3 linked regions of the Tamandua tetradactyla genome follow. The protein of the gene in region 3 binds, or shares a complex with, the protein of the main gene of each other region. Links are inferred from orthologs where the notes say so. Each region holds a gene or a part of one and is shown on either strand. Other genes may lie near its edges. The genes, in order: YWHAH, AMOT and NEDD4L.

Region 1 (7,356 bases), on a different chromosome or scaffold from region 3:
ATGAGAGCTTGAAGATTTTCCTTTACTTCAATTCAGAAACATTCCTTGCACTTCAAATTATGGGGTGTGGCAGGGAATGCAAGTTTTCAAATGATTTGGGGCAACACTGTTGTTTCCAGTATGCATGATGTTTTTCTTACAGCTTACTGACACCATCCTTCAGGTGACACTGGTAGCACAGAGAACATCAATTATTACAGACAGGCAGTATTACGTGACCATTTAAATGACACAGGATATAGAATAAGTCAGAAGACTAACGGTTGAAAACTGACTGGTAACATCAACACTCCTACTTCTACACTTCAGAGAAACTGAGGCCAAGAGACGTAAGGTTCAAGTTCAGAGCGATGGCACCAGAACATCCCTTCACTCAGGTGCCCGGCTCCAGGTCCCTAGAGCAGTCTGTTTATGCCCTTCCACCACCCTGAGGAGACCCACATAAACCCAGAGGGTGACTTGAATTCAGACTCAGCAAAAGCTTCTAATTAAGGTCTATGATATTAATAAGACGAGGACAAGCGTTCCCAATGACATTCATGATGAATTCAATCTACAAACACCAAATTAATAAGTAAAACATAAGACCTCTGACAAGTCCATTCCAATAAATAGGTGGCAAAAAAAAAAGTTTTAATAGTGGGGACATATTAACAAAAAGTTGTTTTTAAAACAAGAATTACCTTAAGGAAATGGCTTATAACAATTCTGCAATGACACAATTAGTGCTTGACTTGAATTTTCAAAGCTATGTAACTTGTTCAATCATTTCAGACACAGATAATATAGGTACCCAGCATAGTAAAGGATCCATTCGCTTGCAAAACACTACCTTAAAAGCCTCAGAGAAAATCTGCAGACATAGCAGCTAGAAGCAAGAAAGCATTTTCCAAACATGCTTATGAAGACCAGAAAGTCAATTTTTCACTGCCCAAACTGAAATTCATTCTGGTAACACCTCTTCATCCTTTCCTCACTTTCCAGACCACAGTACTTCAGGTTTCCTACAGCTTCAAAATGTACCCTCTGGGCATTTTTCCTGAATTTCAATTCACCTTCCTTTAAGGCCCATCCCTACTTTCTTTCCAACATCTTTACTCCCCAAAGGACTCCTGACACTGTAGCCCTTAAGGGACACTCAGGGAGTGAGCAAGGGCCTTCCTAAAATATCCCACAGAAAGGCCTCAGACTGCATAATGCTAATATCACTCAGTTACCAAGAGGTTCACTTAAATGTGAATGGGTATGAGGTCAGAATCAGTTTTATTCCAAAGATAATTAAGCTTCCTGGTCCCTTCCAAGGAACATGCTCTCACAGCCAGTCCAATTTCTGTAAAATTGGCAAAATTATTTTTTTTCTTCTTCAAGAGGCATCCCCTCCCTCCGAATTACATAAGTGTCAAGCCCCAAACTTACATTCTTCCCTCCTCTGGATGAAAAACTCCTATCTAACCCACTACAGCATGCCACTGCTCAGGTCAGGATCACCAATGAATCAACAATTTGGTTGTTGGTCTTGGTTTCCAAACAAATCTAATTAAATTAGTAACCAGCACCACCACTACAGGAAAGAGAACTCTTCAAGTATTCTTCTTACCTGGATAATCCTAAAACTGGTTTCCAGAATCTATTTTAGATCATAATAATATCAAATGCTTTAAAATGAGCTTTTGGAAAGACACTGAAATTGTAGGGACCCTCTGGATTTGTTGTTTTTCTTTGAGAGATCCCTTCAGATGGCCAGCAAAGGACAAATGAGCTTTGATCCAAGGCGATGAACCTCACTTAAGCCCCCTAAAAATTGTCAGGAGAACAGGTTAAAATGCAGACATCTGAGTCCCACCCCGGAGTCTTCAGGTCGAAGGTGGGGCCCAGGGGGCTGCTGCGAGGTCTCGGGAAGGTTGTAGGCTGAATGAACAGAGCAGGTTGGTGGCAGCTGCCGCGGCTCCACCACTGTGTGACCTTGAGGCAGAGAGAACTAGGGTTCATTTAGAGAAAACATAAAATAACGTGAAGAGGGCAGGGACAGTGAGAGGAGAAGCGGAACTCGACGCACAGCAGCGCAGGTGGTGTCCAATCCACGGAATCTGTTAGGGTGTGGCTGGGCACTACGGCTCCACCGGAAATCAAGTTGCAGAGTTCATGTGCGAGGGTCTCAGGAAAGCAAAGGTACACAGGTTCGTCTCGCCCAGAAGTCACGTCTCATTTTAATCTCGAGTCCGACAGGGGCAGCATCAACCCGGGGCTAGGGAGTATGAGCCCAGGCTAGACCCCACCCGCCGCCCTCCCGCTCGCGTCCCTGCGAGAAGAGGGTCTCGGCACACAAAGCCAGGGCCGGGTTGTGGGAAGGTGGGACGAGCACAATTCGGGCGAGCGGAGCAAAGGAGAGAAGAAGACCACAGACTCCAGGTCGTGACAGAGAAAAATAGGGGAGGAGGGGCGTCACCCACTCGGCAACTCTTTATTCCCAGGTGAAGGGCGGAGGGCGGCGAGGCGGCATGTAGCCCCCAGGTCCCGGTGAAAGGGGTCAGAAAGGGGGAATGTGGCTCCCGCCTATTTCCTCCGGTTCCCCCTCCCCCACCCACTGAGCCGGGATGCGGCGACCCCCGCCCACTCGCCCGCAGGAGGGCTCCGCCGCCCGCGCGCCCGCCCCTGGGGCTGCATTCGCGACCCCCAGCAGCTCCCCCGCCTGAGACACGACTGGGGTCCGGCCGCAGGAAATGGCGGGGCGCCCGGCGCGCGCGGGAAGCACCGGCTGCTGGGGGCGGCTCCGCCCTGCAGGGTCGCAGGGGGCACCCCGGGGCATAGCGGGACACCCCGACCGGCCGGCTGCCCCATCCCTTCCCCGATTTGGACCCCCAGGCCGGCCGCGCGGGTCCCCCGGCGTCTCACCGCCTTCATGGCGGAGGCCATGTCGTCGTAGCGCTCCGCCTGCTCGGCCAGCCGCGCCCGCTGCAGCAGCTGCTCCCGGTCCCCCATGTCGCTACGGCTCGGTCTCGCCTCGCGTCCCGCACCGCTCGCCCACTCTCGGTTCGCCGCGGAGGCCGCCGCCGCGCACGCGCACTGGCTCCCGGCCGCCGAGGGAGGCTGAGACCGCGCCGCCGCCCGCGCCCGCTCGCTGGCTAGTCCCGCGCGCAGTGGCTTCGCGTCGCGAACACCGCGGAGGGAGGAGAGGCGGGCGTGCCGAGGGGGAGGGGAGGATGGGAGGGCGCCTGCGCAGTGGGAGCTGCTGGGCCGGGCGGCGGGGAGCGGCGAGAGTGGGAGGGGGGAAGGGCGAGCTGGCCCTAACGGTCTATTTCAAGGTGACGTCACCTACTATAAATAGCCGCCACCGCGGCCCCGCCCGAGAGCCGCGCAGGCGCCCTGCGAGTGCTGCATTTTACCGCCGCAGAGGTGGAGGTGGGAGCTGGGTGAACCGGTTGGAGACTGCGGAGCCGGAGGGCTGGGTGTGGTGATGGCGGCTGCCTAGGCGGCGCGTTGCCACAAACTCATCCTGCAAAGCGCGCCTGAATGCACGTTAGCGGCCTGGCCTGAGGAGGGTCCAAAACGCAAATAAACCTCCTGCGTGGAGAAGCCGGGAGGGCGTACGCCCGGAGGGGTGGGGCGGATTCGCCCCCGCCCCCGTAGCCGCAGCAGCGTGGAGTCCCTCCCGGCCCCTGGGTTGCACGGGCCACACCCTGGCGGTATCGAGCCCCGCCCTTGGGAACCCCCTTACCACACTACCACAACCGCCACCACCACACACGCGCAATCCTGGGCTGCAGAGCTGAGCTCCCACCCTGAGAGGTGGCGTCCGGCCTCACAGTCACGACGCCCTTGCAGGGAACTGGCCTAGTGCTGGGACGTCTACAGGCGTTATTGTATTTAATACGCACCACCCACCCTTGTCTGTGGACGCGGCTGGTCTCCCCATTTTTCAGTTGTGGAGCCTGAGGCAACGTGAAGTTAGTGACTTGCTGAAGGTTGCACAGCCGTCCAGTGATAGGGCCAGGATAAGGGTGCAAGCTCAGGCAAGGAAGGGGTCGGCCAGTCACTGAGCTCCTTTCAGTCATGGCATTCGGTGCGGCTTCCAGGCAAGCCGGGAAAACCTCGCTGACCAAAGCATGCCGGCCACGTACAATATATATGGCAAGGGCAGCGCGGAAGAAGAGGCCTTAGGCTTTCTGAAAGTTCTGTTGAGCACCTGCTGCATATTTAGCACTGAGAGGATAGGGTAGCTACAGGAATGAGTAATATATACCCCTGCCGCTAAGCAGCACAGATCTAAATATGCGAGAATAGGTAATCTGGGCCTTGAGAGGGAGGGAAGAGGTATTGGGGCGGGGGGGCGTACAGTATGGACAAAGACTTGACTTGGCAGAGAGGATAAAGACAAAAGAGATAGTGAAAAGAGACGCTTGCCATTGGGAATGAGGTTGGGTAGGGTGAGATTATAGAGTGTTTTAAATGCCAGATTGAAGATTTGAGACTTGATTCTTCGGAGCTACAGAGGTAACAGAAGTCATGTTTCTGGCCAGGAATCTGGCTTCAGAAAGTAACATGCATTAGAAGGGAAAGGGAGGGACTGAAGACTGAACCGTTTCTGGAACTCGGTTTTAGCATCTGAAAAATTGGACTTGAAGGACTGTTAAAGGACTGAAACATAGAAATCCTCATTCTGAAATGTCACGGTCACTGCTGTCCAACTCCTTATCCTGCATAAAGAGAAACTGAGTCTCAGAAGGAGAGGCTGGCTCCAGTTTGTGCTGTGAGTGAGCAGATCTGGAGCCTCCACACAGGTCTCCAGCCACCCAGCCCTCCTCCTCTGGTGCTAAAAGGAGGCTTGGCACCCATAACGCAGGATTAAGTATGGGTCTGGGGAAGAGCCACTCCCCACGCTTCACCCGTGTTTTGAAGAGTCACCTTTGCTGACTAGAAATGGAATCCAGGTTAGCAAACCAGGCTGTTCTTTCCCCTCGTGAATATCTTTAAAGAGTATGATAGCTCGTAATTAATCTTCCACCCCATCTAGCAGAGAAGGCGCTCTGAGAGGCAGGGCCAGGGCAGGATGAGGACGGTATGGTGAAACTCTGGTTCCTTCCAGCCTTTAGAGGCTATTGTTTTCCAGATCATGCTGGACTGAGAGTGATTTCAAAACAATGAGAAATAGGTAGAGCTGAAACAGTCTAAACAGTTGATTTTGACATTCCTAAATTACACTTTGGTTCTTCCAGAAAGCCTTTCTTTCCTTCTCACCAAACTTCTCTGTCTTCACTTCTTCACCTCCCACCCAGCCCTCAGCCCACTGTACTCTGGCTTCTACCCCCTCTCCACCCAGATGACCCTCGCTGAGACCACCAATGGCCTCCTTGTTGCCAAATCCAAGGATGCTTTGGAGTCTTCACTTTCCTGACCCACAACGGCTCACCCCTCCTTCGAACACTCACCTCTTAGCTTTCATGACCCTGCACTCTCCTGGTTTCTCCTCAACTGTTCTGGCCACTCCTTTTCTGTTTCCTGTGTGAGTTTGTCTTCTAGGCCCACCGTGAAATGCAGGGGTTCCTCAAGGCTTCGTCCCAGGCCCTCTCCTCTTTCCATTCTGCCCATTCTGGGTGACCTTGTCCAACCCCACTCTTGAAAGGAAAGGAAGATTTACCATGTTCCTAGCATCAGGTAAGGGGTTTTGCAGAGATGGGCATATTTTTTTTACTTCAAGATACCCTTGAAGTAAAAGGCAATTTCCACCCCCATTTTACAGATGAGGAAACTGGCTCAGAGATGTTCCCTGACTTGAAGAAAGTCGCCCAGCTGGTAATCAACAGAGCCAGGATTCAAATTCAAGTCCATCAGACTCCTAAGCCTGATGGCCCCACACTGCCTTTTGGTGTTAGCCAAAAAGGGCTCAAGGTATGACTCCCCTTTTGGAGTCATTTGGATTATGAAAAGCACACATAAGCCTCCTTCTTGTAGCCTGCATCTTACCAGCATCTTCCCCCTCAGGGAAGAGAGCTGCCAGCTCCCCCAAAGCCTTATAAATCAAAGACCAGTGGGGTGTGCCCTGGATGGAGCACCTACTGCCAGGGCTCCAAGCCTGATCAATAAACAAGCATTTGACCAGCTCCAAAGACAGTCCATGAGTGAAGTGAAGGGGGCTGACAATATCCAACACCATGTTGTTCCAGGGCCCGAAGCAGGCCCAGGGTAGGGGCCAGGCTGGAGCTTTGCCTGGGACAGGGGCTTTTTCCGGGAACAGAGCAATGCCTCCGCTATCCCCCGGCTGGCTAAGAAAGTATGTGTGTGAGGGGGGAGGAGGGTAGAAAGAAGCTAGTTCTGGACTTGGATTCAAATCCTACCCCACCAGTTACCAGCCCTCTCTGAGTCTGTTTTCTCTCTTGCATACTCGCGCTAACCACACTTATCTCTTGGGGTTATTGTGGGATCGGTGGCATAATGCCAGCACATGAAAGCACCCGCCATCACTGCCGTATAATAATCCCTTGCTCCTGAGTCAGTGATAAAGATGCTTCTCATGTAGGACTTGTTTTCTGAAGCATTGCCAGAACCCTCAGCCGGAGACCTGTGAATAGGTGACCCAGAAAAGGCACGTCCTGTTTTTTTTGTGGGTTTTTTTTTTTACACCCTCGGGTACTCTGGGACACTCTGAGTTCCCTCAGAAGTCTGGATACCAAGGAACATATTACAAAGAAGACCTTGTGTTGTTGTGGAGAGGCAGGTGTTCATACCCTTGGCCTGGATGCCATCGCCCAGGGAGTCGGGTACCCAGATAGGATTTTAATTTTTTTTTTCCCCAAACGCACCAAAGTGAACTTTCTAATCCTGAGCCAACGATAATAATGGCATGAGCAGCAACTATTATATGGATGAGGAAATTAAGAACTAGAGGAATCAGACTTGCTCTGTGGTCCAGGCAGCCACCCATGGTCTCCCCAGCTCACACTCGCTTTCTGTTCATTCGCTTTGGCCCTAGTGTCCTTTTGCTGATACCAAATTCCACCCCCGTATCCAAGATGAGCCTGAGCACACAGATTTCTGGATCTATCCAAAGCCTTTCACTATTCTTTCAAAGCCCGATCTGGGAGCAGATTGACTCCCAAGGCAGCTCTTGGCATTAAGAAGTGAGAAAATGTCCTGGTAGCTGCCATCTGCAAGCCGGTGGAGCTTGGGGGCCCCCCCTTTGCAGCACCCGCCCTCTTCAAACGTGTTCACAGGAGCTTGGCTCTGGAGAAGAAGGCAAAGCTGTCACCTATGGAATCCCAGTGACTACAAGGGCGAAAGGGGTTTGCGCTTTAAGCCCTGCAGATGACCCAGGAGCTTGTGTTTCTTAGCCTGAATTTTCTAGGTGGTTTGCTGCAAGCT
Region 2 (7,727 bases), on a different chromosome or scaffold from region 3:
AAATCTGCTATGGATTTTTTTATAAAGTAAATGACCGTCTATTTTTTTCTTTCTTTTTCCTCTTTTTTAATTCAGACTGTGTGTGTAGTGTGTGGAGAGGGTGATTTTCCTAGGTTAAAAGAGGTCAGAAGCCCACCATGGAAGAAAGTAATGCAGTACAGCCAGTCTGTTTAATGTTCCCTTAGTTCCTGGGATCAAATTTTAACCTTTGACTTGGGGGTGGGACCTTAGATTTTGGACCAAAGTCCACAAAAGACAGCAAGGAATGAAGAAGTAAGACTGAAGACAACACATCATAATAAACTACCAACAAAAATGCTTAGAGACAGAACATCAATGGAGCACAATTCTAAACAAATTGATTTAGTCCCAAGCTAATTAACTTGTCAAACGGATCTCCAAATTCACTGGGTCCATGGGGAAAAGAGGTGATATAATAATAGATTTGAGAACTTTCTTCCATTTACCATCCAAAAAGGCTCAGACACAATCACATACACCTTTTTCTACCCCTTTCAGTGGGTTTAAGCTAGGCTTAATGGTGCAAAGGACAATTTCTTCCAGACAGTCCCTAAGAATAGGCTGTTCTCATACATTCCAAAACTTCAGTCTCCATGGAGGAAGCTACCTGGCCACAAGCTTCTCCCAAGAAGGAATATATCCTTTACTCTTCCTCATTGGCACCCATTTCCAAAACAAAACAAAATAACTTCCAATCATCCTGAGAACTTCAGGGGACATTTTGTGTGTGCGGGGGGGGGGGGGGATAGGAAAAAAACTCAAGAGGGGAAGCAGGAGAGTGTGAGAAACTCCTCTTGTCTCCAAATAGGAAAAAAAGGCTTATAAAGCTGGATCAAAGGAAGAAAGGGGGGGAGGTGGGGTAGAAGGGTTGCTTAATTACAAAGACACCCTTTTAAAGAAGGCACAGGCCCTGGGAGAGGGTTCTTGTGAGAGCCCCAGAAGCAGATGTACCCACTTAGAATTCTGGCACTCAGTGGGACCTCAAGGTCATAGCTTCCATCCCTCTGCCTTCTGATTAGACTTTTCTCAAAGCATTCTAGAAGGAGTCTGATTTATTCTTTACTCAACTCCAGAAAAGCAATTCCACAAAACTCTTTGATTATGTATTAGTCTAATATACCCTACTTTATAAACCAGAAATGAGATTTTAGTTTCCAAATCCAAATCAGCATTAATATGAAGAAAAAATTCGCTTTTCTCAAGTCTTTTAAATAGGTAAACAGACCCACAATTTTTGCATGAAAGCTATTACATACACACTGTGGTCAGAAGTTTACTTCATATCTAAACTATGAAGTTAGGAAAAGTATTTTCAATTTTACAGAGCCACAAACTTTTCCAAAGAGAGCCACGAACTTCTCCAAAGAAAGAGGCATCTTAAAATGAAGCCTGATGCATTGCCAGAAAATGTCTGTAAATGACACCGGATAAACCCATACAGAATAGCTGGAATCTGAGTTATCATCTGTAAATAGATGCAACTACTCTACAGCCACCTGGCTATTAAAATGTCCCAGGCCAGTTATAAAATGTAGTTTGGTCAAGCCAGCTCTTCCCTCCCAGCTGATCTGAAACATGATATCCTTTAAAATTGTTGCCTTGTAATGTTTCTTCTTTCCTTCCCTGCTTTCCTTCCCACCATTAAAATCAAGCAAAGAAATTATTTAAAAGCGTAAGTAATTTGTATCCAAATAAGTAATGGATCAGGGATCGCTCATAATAGGTCTTTGAACACAACCATTCTTATAAGTTTGCTACCCTTGCCAAACTGGTAATAGATGGGAGATTGGGGGAGCTGTACCTCATGTCTAAAATGGTATTTCAAACTATGCTTAGTTACTAAATGAGGGTGCTGAGAGGTCTAACTGAGAAGGTTTCACAAAGACTGGCATGAGAAAGAACTTTTCACAAAGCCTAGCTCAAGGAGACTTAAATACCCTTAGCTCTCCACCATTGAAGATTATGGTCACTAATCATCTTCCTCTCTGATGTTAGAAAAGGGTTAAATTCATAAAAGTTGCTCCCCAACTTCCATCCTTCTTGGAGAAAGTGGGGTGGGAGGGGAAAGAAATCCCCTGGGTTGTTGGAAAATTATTTTTTTAGATTCATAATATAATAGAGATTGGAAATGCTTTTTCTCACTAACTTTCCCTTTCCTCACACATTTAATTGCATCTACTCCCTTGCTGCAAATTATCATTATATCATTAGTGATAATTTACGAAGAACTGCTCACAATCTACAAAGACTGCCGCTTTCCCTCCCACTTTTCCTACTCTTTATTTTCACCTATTGACGAAATCCGTATTACTATTGAAGCACCAACGCAGAGTGGCTCGGGTTTGGGACCCTACAGATATCTGCACGGTCCCGCAAAACTAGTTACTAACATCTTTGGACCTTACAAACTAGATAAGTAGCAACCTCTGACACCCCACCCCCTACGCAAATGCACATGTACACCAAAGTGTATCGTGGTAGATTACTCCCAGACTTTAAAACTTCAAAATTTATGGCACCCTGGAAGAGGGGAGTGTAAGAGCCCCAAACCCTACCCTAAGCACTTAGGAAACCTGCATCAATTGATTTAAGTGCGGACAATAGTGCTGGGCTAAATGGAGATCTCCTGTCTTTAGTTTCTCGCATGATTAATTACCTAGAGACCTACAAGGACCCCAGGAGGCAACGGGGTTAAAACTACCATTAAGTAGTGGTACCCACTAGCATCTCCTCACCAAAGGAGGGCCCGAAAAGGAACGCACACTCTTGAAGTGATTTAACTTGTAGCACATTCCGGAAAACTCACCGACAACTGCAAAGAAAAGTAGAACGAACGGGCATCTCCACACGCATCTAGACAGACTTACTCACGCCGAGGGCAGGACCAAGTTCATGCCACCATGAATTCCTGCCCCAGCTCCCCGTGAAAAGTAACCACACGTCTCCTACCCCCGAAGGCAACGAAGACAAGGTGTCGGCTCTCAGCTCACTCAGATAGATGGCTTTGGCCCTGGCCGACGGCCAAGGATGGGCAGGGGGAGGAATCCCCAACTCCTGGCTGCTCCCCTTCTCGTCACTCCGTCCGTGCGTTCCTTGGTGGCAATGGACAGACAGGATACCGGGCCGGAGGGTGGAGCAGCGGATGGTCGGAGGCGACAGAGACTCGAAGTGGGGGTGGGGGTAGAACTAGAAGAGGAGACGAAAGAGAGCGGGGATGGAGGAATAATTCAGGGGGTCTACCAGCTTGGGCAGCCAGAAAGCTCTTCGGAAGGAAGGGGCGTGACTGCTATGAAGGCAGCTCCCGGGCAAAGGATGGGAGGTAGAGGAGTGGGACGAATGGGTGGCTTTTCTTCTTGCAGTAAGCGGCTAGGACCGCCCAGGAGCGGAGGGTGGGGGTAGACTTAGGAGGGAGGCGGAGTAGAGGGCGGGGAAAGAAGGGCGGGAGTCTGCCTGGACCTCGGGGCGGGGGAGGGGGCGCAGAAGGGAGGCGGGGCAGGGGGCGGGGAAGTTTGAAACAATTGAACGGCGGTGTCCAGAACCTCCGGCAAAAGCCGGTGCCCTCGTTCTCGCCCTCTTACTAACATAGCACGACTCGGTTCCGGTAGCCCAAAAGTCTACACAAGGAGTGGCTGGGAGGAAGGAAGGGGTTCTGTAAAGACTACAGTAATCTACGGTAACAGCGGAGCAGAGTCGCGTGGGAGAGCCAGTGCAGCTCCCCGCCCCACAGCGGGAGGAAGAAAAACAAATAGAAATGCTGAAAAGCGACTTCTATCAGAGCCTGCTTAAAATAATAAAGGAAGGCGCAGCGCTCCTCCGATTTCCTTCCCCTCTTGCTTCCTATTACCACAGTCCCCCACCCAGGTCACAGCTCTATGAGACACCCTCCTTTCTTCCTCTGTTTCTCTTAGCCTTCCCCTTCCTCCTCCCATTCGCGTCTCTGCCTGGCTCTCCATGGCAAGCTGCGCAGGCAGCCGGGGTGGGGTAGGTGGGGCGCCGTGGAGCCTCCGCCTCTTGGGCGGGCTGTGAAGGCTGGCCTGGGCGGAGCGTCCCGGAAGAGTAAATCCCACCCGACGATTCTTTTGCAGTTTGCAGTTGGGGAGTCCTGGCCTAAGGTACGCCTCCTATTGGTTACTGGAGCCGTCAATCGAATTCTTTTGCCCCACCCATCCTCAAAATTAATAAAACTAGACAAGAACCTATTGTCTTGCTCGCTAATCTCCCCCAGCTACTGCTGGGAAGAGAAAGATGAGACGCTTGATTTCTCAGTCTGGTAAGAGTGCGACAGTGTGTCGACTGATTCGGGTACACCTCTGTGGCACTCACTGTTCATTCCTCGGAATAGATAACTTTCCTCCCTCAATTCATTAGGCGAGAAGGAGGAAAAAGTACGCGAAGTATCAATATGTTCACATTTTCTGGCTGCAAAAACGATGGTATTGCTTAAAAACACGGGCAATTGAGAATAGCAGGCTGGGACACTTGAAAGTCTCCCATTTTACAGCTGGGAAAATAAAGCATAAAAGAACAGCATAAGGGTGACAGAGGAATATGGGTTTTGGAACCAACGTAATAATCATTTCGGTCTCCGGCGATTATTAGCTAGTTGTACGACTTTTCTTAAGGCGCTTAGCTTCTCTGAGTCTTAATTTTCCCATCTTGTAAATAAAGTCTATAAAATATGCTCTATTAACTTAATGGTATTGGTATGAAAATAAAATGAAATGAGTGTGAAAAATCTGTAGACTACCAAGCACTCCACAAAGGTATGTGGCAGAGTCTCACGTGTTTGGAAAACAAATATTCTGCTCATGTTTTTAAAGCATTTATGTCCAAGGTATGTAGGATTTGTGGCTTTGTTTTAAAAAACGACTCTTCCTAAAGTTCTGGAGGTGGGTATGGGTTGGCTCCCTGCAATTAGAATAATAAGTTTCCCTTTTTCTAACAAGTGTGGGTGAGATTTCTTTTTTAAACAGTTCTGCAGTGGCGCCACGACCTAAATCTAATGTGGTGCTCGTACTGAAAGAGGAAATCATGCTGTGTATCTCTGAAGCGAACTTGAGAAAACAAATATGAGAGAACATTTACCATGGAAACCACATTCTGTACAGATCTATATTTGCTAGAAAATGTAACAAGTAGGAAGCAAGTCTAAAAGTAAAGGCTTTGACAATGGAGAGCTAGTATAATGAACTCATGCAAATGAAAGAGTTACATCCAATTCAAGTTTGGCTAATAGGAGTCTTCTTAGGAGACATAGATCAAGGCCATGCAATAGGAAGTGTGTTTAAAGGAAGCATTATCTCACTGTGAACAGAATCTCAATATAATTCTGGTTGCGGGAAAAGTTATGGGCAGGTAGCACATCATCAAAAGCATTGAGTGGCCTCGGTATACAGAGTACTCTGCTAGGGGCTGCCAAAAGATTCAGAAATAAGAGTATGGGTATGATTGCTTCAATTTACATATGAGGCGAGGTTATTTAGGTGATTTTTCATGGGGAAGATGAATTTTTGTGCATTAAAGACATGGAGAAACCTGGTTTTATGAATCAAGGGAATATTATTCCAGCCTTGTTATTTGGAGGCATGGGCAGGAGAGCTATGAAGAGTGCGTATATGCTGGAGAACTACCACTGATCAGAATTGTAATATGCTACTTGTTAAAATTAACATTGCTGTTAAAATGCAGAAGGTAAAATATGTACATGGTAAAATTAAAATCAAACAAACTGAAAGAAGTACGGTGAAAAGTTGCCTCTTTATTACTCCAGTTCCAGAGTCCCCTTACACTCTATAACGGTATGTAATCTTCAAAATATATTATTTGCATATCCATGCAACATGGGTACATATGTGAACACACCTTGCCCTTCTTTACTCAAGTATGTATCTTAAATATCTTTTCATATTAGGACAATTACTTCTATCTAATTATTTTTCATGATTAGTTCAGTAATCCATTGCATAGATATACCAAAATTACTTTAATCAGCCCCCTGTTGAGTTGTAATTTAGGTCTTTCCCATCTTTTGTCATTGCAGATGATGCCAGAAAAAAAATTCTTGGTAGCATGGATCTGGCAGCTGTGTTTTAATATGCCTGGCAAGAGTCTTGACATTGTCCTCAAAAGATTGTCCAATCTGTCTTCTCCACAGCTACCAGGGCCTTCATAAGGTTGGAACCCCTCAAACACCTAACTACTTCCACACCCCCTCCTCCAATCCTGCCATGGGCATTACTGTTCTTCTACAACTTTTAATTTTTTGATGGAATATAATTAGCAGAGCTCTGAGCTTAATGGGGAATCAGGCCATGTATGAGTCACCTCTTAGCCTGTGGCAAAAAGCAGGTTTATTGGTACCTCTGATTTACCCAGGTCTTTCAAGCATCTTAGGTGTTCCTTCTGTCTTGCCACACAGGACTTTCTCTTTGTTTTTACCCTGAAAACCCTTCAGTTTGTTTAAACTGTTTGAATTTAAAGCCATGCATTGCTTGCACTGCTTAAAGTGGGGGTTGGGGGGCGGAGGTGGGAGGCCAACATCAACAAACATTGATTGAGCTGCTATTATGGACAAGACTGGAAAAACAAAGAAGTATGAGACTTGGCTCCTGCCTTCAAGGATATATACATGAAAAGATAACTAACAGGCGTATGCTAAGTGCTAAATGAATGGTATTGACAGTAAAAGCTGTGGAAGTTGAGAGAAGGGAGAGAAAACTAGTTTCAGGGAGTGAGTTTATATAGCAAACCATGCCACACACATTTGACTAATCCCCAAGGCATCCCCTGACTTCAAATCCTGACTATAAAATATGGAAAAACCCGCTGGGGAATACCAGGAGAATTAGCCACTGACTTTGAAGCACCTGTGTAAAGATACTGGGTTTCCTAAGTGTTGCACATTAAAATCTCCATATATTGATATGGAAAAAAGGAAGATCTTTTAAGCTATAAATCAAGAGTCTCCACCTGAAACTACGTGCCCTATTTGGCTTTTTCCCCCTTAAAAAGCAACTTGTCTTTAAAGTGCAATAAAAATCAACATATGCACTTTGTTGGCAATATTTTTGCCCAATGTACAGGAAAAGTAGGAAGGAGAACACAGCTTATAGTCCCAACCTCTGGCTACGTTCTTCTTTAAGGCAAAATCATAAGATTTAGCTGATTGACACTCTCCCCCACCTACCAAGCCTACTGGGAGTGTAGTGTAGAATGAGCAATTTTTCTCTAATTGCCTGGTGAACAACTAAATCATTTAGATGCATCTGAAAAAAAAAGAAAAAAAAAAAACAAAGGCAAGTACATTCATTAGCGAAAATTCTCAGGATGTATGTCTTAACATAACACCCCCCCCCGCCCCCACGAAAATGCTGTTCATATATGTTAGACACACATTGAAAAAGTCGCCTGTTTATTTATGACACCTGCTCTGCAAATGCAAAATCCAGCAGATCCGAAAATTGCAGTTTCATTTGAACAGGAAAAGAACAGAGACACATATATAATGTAAGAATGCAGCTAAATGCTTTTCTTTTGAATACCTTTCCTCCCCTCTTCCATTCTTTCCCAATACATAAACACACACACACATACATACACACCATACACACACTTGGTCCAGACACAGGAAGTTTGAAGCATGATCCATGTGTGGAAACCAGCAATGTGGAAATTCAGGAAACAACACCAGAACTGTACTCCAAGGC
Region 3 (8,162 bases):
GGTAAAATTTTCCTAACGTTTTAAGTTTAACTTCTGGAATAACTATATGTAGAATTTTGTGAGTTAATTATGAGATTTCAGCTTAGTGAGTTTTTGTGGTTGTGGCTGTATTTTGAGGGTGGGAATTGGAACTGAAAATTTGGAAATATTAAACTGCTTAGCTAATTAATTGGAAAGATTTCTCTTTAAAATGAAAAGATATTTCAAATGTCTATGTAACTGTGATATTAAGACTTGCTTTACCTCTAGAAATGCTCCAGAATAGGTCTTCTGAACAGTGCAGATTCCCACAGAGCAGTATTGCCATTCAGTCCATTTAAGATTGGCCCTGACTTTTTTCTTTCAATCATAATAATATTTTATGTGCTCAGACTTGGATTATTCTACACATCTGTTTTGTATTAGGTTCAGAGCTAATGAAAAATGGCACTGATATTTTATTTTTATTTATTTAATTTTATTACATTTTTTATGCTTTTTTTCTCTTTGGCACTGATATTTTAATACTTGGTGAACTCCTACGTACAGTCTCTACAAGATGTATTTTAAATTACTCTGTGAAAGACCGAAAAGCTAATGGGGGAGATAGATGTCTTTGGACCTTAGTTAACTCTCAAATGTAGCTTTCCATTCGTAAAACCCCAAATTATTTACACACCTTTTTGTTTGACACTGCACTCACATTTATTTAAATTTTAGTACATCTGAATTTTTTTTCAGCTAATCTTGGGTATTAAAAAAAAGGTTTTGTTTTATTCATTCCTCAAATGTTTCTTGAGGACCTCTGTTGTCCTCCGGCCGGTGGAGGCACTCACCGGCCAGCAGCACCACCTTCACAGGGTTATAAGTGGATGCGGGACAGCCTGTCCACCTGCTTGCCCTGTCACTAGGTTAAGGCAGCCTCGGGGACCCAAGCACACGCAGGCTGTGACTCAGATGTGCTGCATTGCGTTTCCCCAGGAAGCAGCTGAAACCTGGTAACGGAACACCTGGGCGGCGTCTCCAGCACTGCCCTTCACAGCCTTAGTAACTTAGGAAAGAACTATCTCAGTTCTTTTTTTTTAAAATAAACATGTATGTATATAACATGAGATTTATTATGGGAATTGGCTCCCATGACAATAGGAATCAGCAAGTCCACATTCCATAGGATGGGCCCCAAATTGGGAACTCCAGGTAGGTTTCAGTGAATTCCCCAGGAGAGGCTGACTGGCTGGGGTAGAGAGAGACATTCTTTCTCCTCTCTTGGTTCTTCCTCTCTCGCACAGGAGAGACCATGCTTACTCCATCGGTGTTTCCAGGATTTCCGTGGGATGGTGTAAATGAGAATACCTGGCACCATGCCTCATCTGTGGTTGGTGCTTGGTCAGTTATACTGGGGTCCAAATGGTGATAAGGGTCACTTGGCTGAGGCTTTGGTAAGGCAAAGGGAGAAACAAAAAGCCATGGGAAGCCCAGTAGCGACGATGGTGGCCCTGTGTTACTGAAAGTGGGAATATCTTTTTTCCCTTTGTTTCTTTGTCTGGGCTCTCTCTGAAAACAAGCAGGTGAGACTTGGTTCAGCTCCTGGTTTGTCTGCCTGCAGGCAGTGGGATCTGCTTCCCTCTCATGGGCCCAGGACCATGTGATAGTTACACATCCTGGGATTGTGAGGATTAGATGAGATAAAGTACCTTTGATATGTCACAAGGCAGTAGTGCCTAAGAAGCACACAATAAGCTACTGCTACTATTTTTTTTTTCATTATTTTTATTGTCATCACTATAATTATTGTTCTTAGGCCTTAGAGATTTCTGTGTAGACTTTTGTGAGGGAGTGGCCTTGGTCCACAGGTGTGGGGATGCCTTTTGCACAGGAATTTTAGGAACTCTTTAAAGCTCTTCGGGATTACCCCTTCTTAGGTTGGTTAGAAGAACAACCTGGAGCCTTTTCTTCTGATGTGCCTAAATATTAGGGGCAGAAAAGTATAGACAGGAACAATGGAAAATTTGATTTAGTAGACATGGGATTCCAGAAGAGTATTCCCATTACACAATTGAACTGAAGCATTTTCAAATATCATTCTATTACTATCCCTTATTTCATCTTTGGAATGATTTTTATTCATCTTTGAAATACTGTTTATGTCCCTCATAGGTAAATCCATCTAATCACAGACTCCTGTTTGAAGTATTTGACGAAAACAGATTGGTAAGTGACTTACTGCTTTTGTATTTTGCTTAAGTTTTTAAAAGCTGAATTTTGAGCGTTACATCTTTGAGACTGTATTTATGTTGCACTTACGAAAGTATATATGCCCAAACAGAAGATTATTTTTGCCCCACCTTTGTTTAAAGTTCATAATTCCAACAAATATTTTCTTATTGCTAGGGTAGAAAGTTTATGTGTTTTTATCACAGTAAGTATTAATGAAAGTCTTCAGTGCTGGCATCAGGCCATTTTTTGTGCTGAAATGTGGGGACACCAGAAGAGTACAGGGATCTGAAAAGAGGCCATCTGTACCTGTAAGCAAACCATTCAGGGTTTTAAAATTCAGGCCAAAATGTAACACTGTAACCTATTCAAGAGGTTCTAAGGTGGGTCTCTTTGGAGAAACAAAAATCCAATTAACAGTGTAGAGCAAAAAAGTGAATCTGTATTTAGCAGAAAAATTTAAACTGTATTTTAAAACATGGTACTGTCTCAAGGGAGACTCTTAGAAAGTATTTTTAAAGAACCAAAGATATTTCTGAAGCATATAACCAATATACATTAACATTTTGGAATAGAAATTTTAGAAAGCAAATTTGGCTTAAGGTAAGATTTTAAGGAAAGTTTTGTTTTCTTTAACTACAATATACACATCAGATTCCCATGAGCCAAGTGTTTTGATGGTAAAACTGAGCATTGTCCTGAGAGTATTTTTTACTCTCAGAAGTGGTGTTATAACGCAGGTCCATCAGTATACCTTCCCTGAAACTTATGTGTCTTATCTGGTTAGGGGAATGTTCGTATAAGCCTTCCTTTTGGCAGAATTTAACTGAAACACCAGATTTTTGAGTGGCTTTATTTTAATGAAATATTTGGTCTGGAGCAGTGTTATAAAACAACTTGCTCGACTCCCTGTCGTTGCAGGTGAGACAGCTGAGGTCTGGAGCTTTACACCATTTAAACTGGGCGGTCAGTGAAACTAGTAGTGGTCGCACTGAGGCTGAGCCTGCTGGTTGCCCATTTCTCAGCCCAGGGGTGGTGAAGAGCCAGGCCTTTCACCTTCGTTAGGGTGTGTTTGATCTTCTTTCTGCACGTGATAATATTCTCCAAAGTAGACACATTCCGACCTGCCATTCTGATATCTTTCCTTTAAAAATATGTGTGGATTCCTTGGTGGATTTGCATTGAATTCAATACTTAGTACCTTGGGTGATATTTAATAGTACTGAGGAACTAAATCACTTCCCATTCTTGTTAAATTGAGTAGGAGAGTGTGCTGGGCCTCTTTCTTAGACCTCCGACTGTCCAAGTCAGTGAAGACTTTGAGTCAGTGCTCAGGGGAACAAAAATAAGTCACAGGAGATGTAGATTCACCCAAAGACTAATCCTTACTCTCAGGTTTATTCGGTACAGTAACACTTCTTCAAGGTGAAGAAAGAGTCAAATTTCAGGAAAAATTGCTTCTTTTCAGATGTTTTAATCCATTATTCAGATTTCTTCTATAAAAAAATTATTTCCCATTTCTATTATCTAAAATAATGTGGTTGGTGAGCTGACCTTGTCATGAGTTCTAAACTATACTTCCAAACCAAAAAGGGCTTTGAGTACAAATCTTTAAGAAATCCTGTGTAAGCACAAGCTTTATCTGAAAATTTGTATTTTACAATATTTAACACCTAACTCTTCCCTAAGCCGTCTACAGTGCTGTTACTATGCAATGAGTGCTGGTGGGGGGTGTGTGTGTGTCTTTGTTGGCTGTTAATCCATTTAAGACAATACGTGACTGTCCTGATACTTGGCAGTTTCAACATTAAACAAACTGGCTTCCATTTCTCTCCTAAAGGTCATTTTTGGCATTTAAAACACATATCTTTAGCAATCAGGTTTGGACGTGTGTAAATATGGGGTTAATCATCCACACCCTTGCCTCCAGAACTGTTGACAAAGTCATGCTTTGCAGATTTTAAAATAAACGTTTTGTCACTCGTTGCAGCTTGGTATTCTGCCCCTCCTAAATAAACCTCTTTGTTAAATAACCCACTTACTGGATTACGGAAAACAGTAAGTTTGAAACACATAGAGCATTTCCAAGTTAACTACAAAGTCTGTGACAGTTTTTTGAATGTCCACTTTTACTTTTAGTTCTTATGTCCCTTTTAGCCCTTTGCAAACATAGCAAAATTCTGTATTAGTATTGCAACTCTGGTAATATTGCTAATTCTAACTCTTCTGGAAGGCATTCGGCTCCAGGCATCATTTCTTCTATATGGTATTTAACTTAAATTAAAACAAAAGCTGCATGCACACTTCTCTTTAGTCTCCCCCCCCCCCCCCCTTTTTATTTTTGGTTTTCTCTCTCTCAATTGGGAGGCAGTGTTTTCTCCAGCTGGGTTTCCTTTTCTCTGGTGCTGCCGTGCTGACCATCTTATAGGTAAGATAAGCACACATATCTTTTAAATGAAAAATGTTAGTGTAGAAGCAGAGGGGGCCATGCCAACTGCCAGTGCTGGAAGTCATGCCCCTCCTCCTGTAGATGGGTCATGGTCTAATTATTTAGTGTTAAAGGGACACTAATTCAGTGGGTGTGTAATCTTATTTATAGTATGTTTTGTTTTATGTTCCATCATATTAACATGATGATATTATAAATAACAGAGAAATTTAACATCCAATATTTGTGCGTTTTCTTGCTTCGCCTGATTTTTTTTCATGTTTTTTTTACAGGGAGGTTTGGTGGGAGATGGTGGGGGTGGAGTGGGGACGACCACATATGAGCTTGTGTGTTTAATGCCAGGTCCCTCGCATTCGCTGGAGAAAGTCTGAGTGCTCTGCTTAGTTGAAAAGAAACGTCCTGTGAATGTGATGTGGTTCAGATTTATAGCCTCGTGGCTCAGACTGTGTTTGCTGCCTTAGTCAGCTGCGAGAGCTCCCTGCTGGGGCCACTCCTTTCTGATGGAAAAGCAGCAGCTGGGAAGGTGCTGTTTCAGGCTCTTGTTTAAAAAAAATCATAGCGAGAAGGGGGAAAACTCCACTAAGTCCACAAGCTGGCATTGGAGGGCGAGAAGGCCGTCATGTGGTTGCAGCCACCCTACCCTCTGTCACAGCGCCGATGAGAGCTTTTTGCTCTTATCCAATCCTGCCTGGAATGCCGCTGGCCACTTGGGTTATTTCTGCTATCTGCCGCTATTGGTTCTGCGGTGCTAACAGTTTGGCAGATGGGACACTTTTTCTTGGAGTTGATGTCTCTGGTTTTTGACGTCTGGCAGTGCTGGGGTTGTGGCTGCTGCTCTCCCTCTCCCTCCCTGCCCCCCGTTCACCATGGCCCATCGGCTTCGGTTTCATTTTGGCTCTGGTCGGAGCAACACAGCCCCCGAATCAGAGATCCTAGACCAGGAGAGAGACGATGACTTCTTCATGGCATTCCACACTCTACCACGGAGAAGCAGCCCCCACCCGTTCTCCCAAAATGGAGGGGAGTGTGGTGGTGGCCTGGGAGAAGGAGTGGGATCGCTCAAGCGGAGTACGTCCATGTTTATCCCTCAGCTGCCGAATAGTATCGATGCACGTCCAACCAGGAGCTCGTCCGTCCAGATCTCCCTGCAGCGCAAAGCTGTGAACGGACACACCGACGACTGCGTGCCGCCGGACTCACTTGAGGGCGGGCTTCTGTGCACACTTTCGGACTTCAGGGAGGATTTTACCACCCCAGTGAGAAGATCGTCTCAAAGCAGCTCCCAGGAAACCTCAGAGAGAGAGACCCCGGAGAGTTCTCCTCCAAGGATATCCAGGGACTCTGAACAACAGGTCAATGGAACTGGTCCTTGTGGCCACCGAGTGCTCTGTGCAGTTCCTGCAGAGCTCCAAGAGGATGCCATGCCCTCAGCCACCCCAGGGGTGGAAGGCAGTGGAGCTCCTGCAGGGCTGAACCTTGGTGGGGTCAGGATCCAGCACCGTGCTTCCAGTGCAGACACGCGCCAGGTGAGGCTGATGCCGTTGGGGTCCGAAGGACAGAGCAGCCCCTCTGTACCTGAGCCGAGGCGCTGGTCCCTGCAGCACGTTCCAGATGTTTCTGGTAGTCCTGGGAAGCGGTGCTTTGTGTTCCAGTTGCAGCAGTCCCAGCAGGGTGGTCTGGGTCTGGGTGGTGACTGCAACTTTGGTTTCACTGGCACGAAGGGCAATCGGTTGGTGAGGTACCCTCGTATTCGGCTGGAGAGGAGCACGTCATACCCCACCCAGCCCCGAACTGAACGAGTGAGCCCCACAGATGACCAGGGGCGTTCCGAGATGTCTCGCGGCAGCAGGATGACTCCAGAAATCCACAGGACGAATTCCATAGAGAGGACTCCACAGGGTCAAGGGTGTATGTTTAAGATCAGGCAAGATCAAAATGCAGGGCAACAGCATTTCAGAATTCTTGTAACTCGGGGGCCAGAAGAAACTCTCCAGAATCCTGAGGAGGATAATGCCAAAAGTCCTGGCTTGACAGTAGCAAGCGCCACGGTAAGTGAGCTGTGTTTACATGGGAGAGTAGGTCAGCAGGGGCTGATTCATACCCAGAAAGCTTATTCCGCAGTGTAATTAAAATAAACTTCGTCCTCAGCTTGGGGAGTTCCCCACCTTGGTCCACTGTAGCTTAATGGCTGGCTGCATTCCGTGACGATGATTTGTGCTCCATTGGTTGGTAGAGATCCATGAAACCAGTGAGCATTTCAGAAAATCTTGTTTGTGTACGCCTTCAAAGTCAAGAGCTCTGTTTTGAAAATTCAAACAAAACACCCTTTTTTTTTTTTCCTTCCGGATAAAAAAATTTTAAGAATTTATTACTTTGAATTCATCTGCCAAAACGCAAGCCAGTGCCTCAACATGTTCATGTTGGAAACACATTTTAAAAGTTGCTTGCCAAGATAGCCTAGGACAACATGTCCTTTACAAATAGTTCTAATAAAGGTAGTGGATATAGCACAATACTTGGGTTTAGTCTCCTAATTAAAATAGTGTGCTCAAAGTTTGGGTCTTCCTAAAGGACTTTTTGTTTTGCAGGGGCAGGGTGGGGGTAGTGGTGTTAGTTTTTCTTATGTAATTCATTTTCTTTGTTTCTGGTCCCATGAAGTAATGCTAAACAAGGGTAGTCGCACTTGTTGGACAGTGAGAAGTGTGTTTTTGAAGTAGGTGGACTTATGAACCCAGGAAAAGGCGAACGGTGATAGGGCCCCGTTAATGACCTGGTTGCATGCCTGTGGAACTTAACTCTGCCCACTTGAGTCTCTAAGCCAGGGATGCTGTATATAGATTAGTAAGTGCCCTGTCTCCAGCTGTGGAAACAGACTCCCTAGACAGATTTTGGACTTTCCTACTTGTGTGTTCTTATTCTCTTCCTTTCAGTGAAATGGAGTACCGAAAGATAGCTGCTGACTCCAGGCATGTGATGACTTTGCACTTGTGTAGTTTATAGTGAGATGGAAAGTTTAAATCAGGTTTCTTTTACTAGGAGTCACTAGCCATTGAGTGCTTTCTTAAAGAACAAGCTCTTTGTATATTGAATTGAATCTTTACCCCTGAATGTCATGTGATTATCAGTCTGAAGATATGATTATGAAATATCTAGGGGACTTTCTTTTCTGCTTGGATTTCTCTTGTGAATTGCCAGTTTTCAAAGTGGGTGGCTGTTATTCTAGAATTGTATCATCTTTCACTGCTTTGTGTTCAGAAATGTTTTTTTGCCATTCGAGTGAACTTTATCACAGCTCCATCATTGCTTTCAACTGTTTCACATTATAATCAGGTGCTAAATGTAAATATTATATTTTTCTTGGTTTACACAATTGTTTTTCCTTTTTTTCTTTTTCCTTCCATAAGCCTCTTTCTTTTATTATATCTAACCCTTTGTTAGGAAATGGCTGAGTGCTTTGCCTTGGTTTGAACCAATATCTTTTATTATGCAATGGTGCAAATTTCAGTAGCATTTTCATTCT

The links.
Region 1: the proteins of NEDD4L (region 3) and YWHAH are in contact, whole or in part, in a crystal structure (PDB 7NMZ), measured with the Homo sapiens proteins. The link is inferred for Tamandua tetradactyla from reciprocal best matches to the Homo sapiens genes NEDD4L and YWHAH. Residues at the interface, in NP_001138439.1 of Homo sapiens: Pro444, Arg445, Ser446, Leu447, Ser448, Ser449, Pro450, Thr451, Val452, Thr453, Leu454, Ser455; in NP_003396.1 of Homo sapiens: Arg12, Glu15, Asn39, Asn43, Leu44, Ser46, Val47, Lys50, Arg57, Lys125, Arg132, Tyr133, Gly174, Leu177, Asn178, Val181, Tyr184, Glu185, Leu221, Leu225, Asp228, Asn229, Leu232, Trp233.
Region 2: the proteins of NEDD4L (region 3) and AMOT are in contact, whole or in part, in a crystal structure (PDB 7LP3), measured with the Homo sapiens proteins. The link is inferred for Tamandua tetradactyla from reciprocal best matches to the Homo sapiens genes NEDD4L and AMOT. Residues at the interface, in NP_001138439.1 of Homo sapiens: Lys202, Asp204, Leu206, Arg208, Tyr210, Val212, Asn213, His214, Arg217, Thr218, Thr219, Gln220, Trp221; in NP_001106962.1 of Homo sapiens: His235, Arg236, Gly237, Pro238, Pro239, Pro240, Glu241, Tyr242, Pro243, Phe244, Met247.

What each region holds. Positions count from the first base shown.
Region 1 is NC_135331.1:30,700,026-30,707,381, forward strand, and holds the start of YWHAH (14-3-3 protein eta), read right to left. Parts: upstream 3,101-7,356; 5' UTR 2,980-3,100; coding exon 2,893-2,979; intron 2,565-2,892; exon of another isoform or gene 1-2,564. UniProt on the Homo sapiens protein: Adapter protein implicated in the regulation of a large spectrum of both general and specialized signaling pathways. Binds to a large number of partners, usually by recognition of a phosphoserine or phosphothreonine motif.
Region 2 is NC_135353.1:56,980,433-56,988,159, reverse strand, and holds the start of AMOT (angiomotin), read right to left. Parts: upstream 3,378-7,727; 5' UTR 2,828-3,377; intron 1-2,827.
Region 3 is NC_135344.1:24,077,921-24,086,082, reverse strand, and holds the start of NEDD4L (E3 ubiquitin-protein ligase NEDD4-like), read left to right. Parts: upstream 1-4,928; 5' UTR 4,929-5,508; coding exon 5,509-6,690; intron 6,691-8,162. UniProt on the Homo sapiens protein: E3 ubiquitin-protein ligase that mediates the polyubiquitination of lysine and cysteine residues on target proteins and is thereby implicated in the regulation of various signaling pathways including autophagy, innate immunity or DNA repair.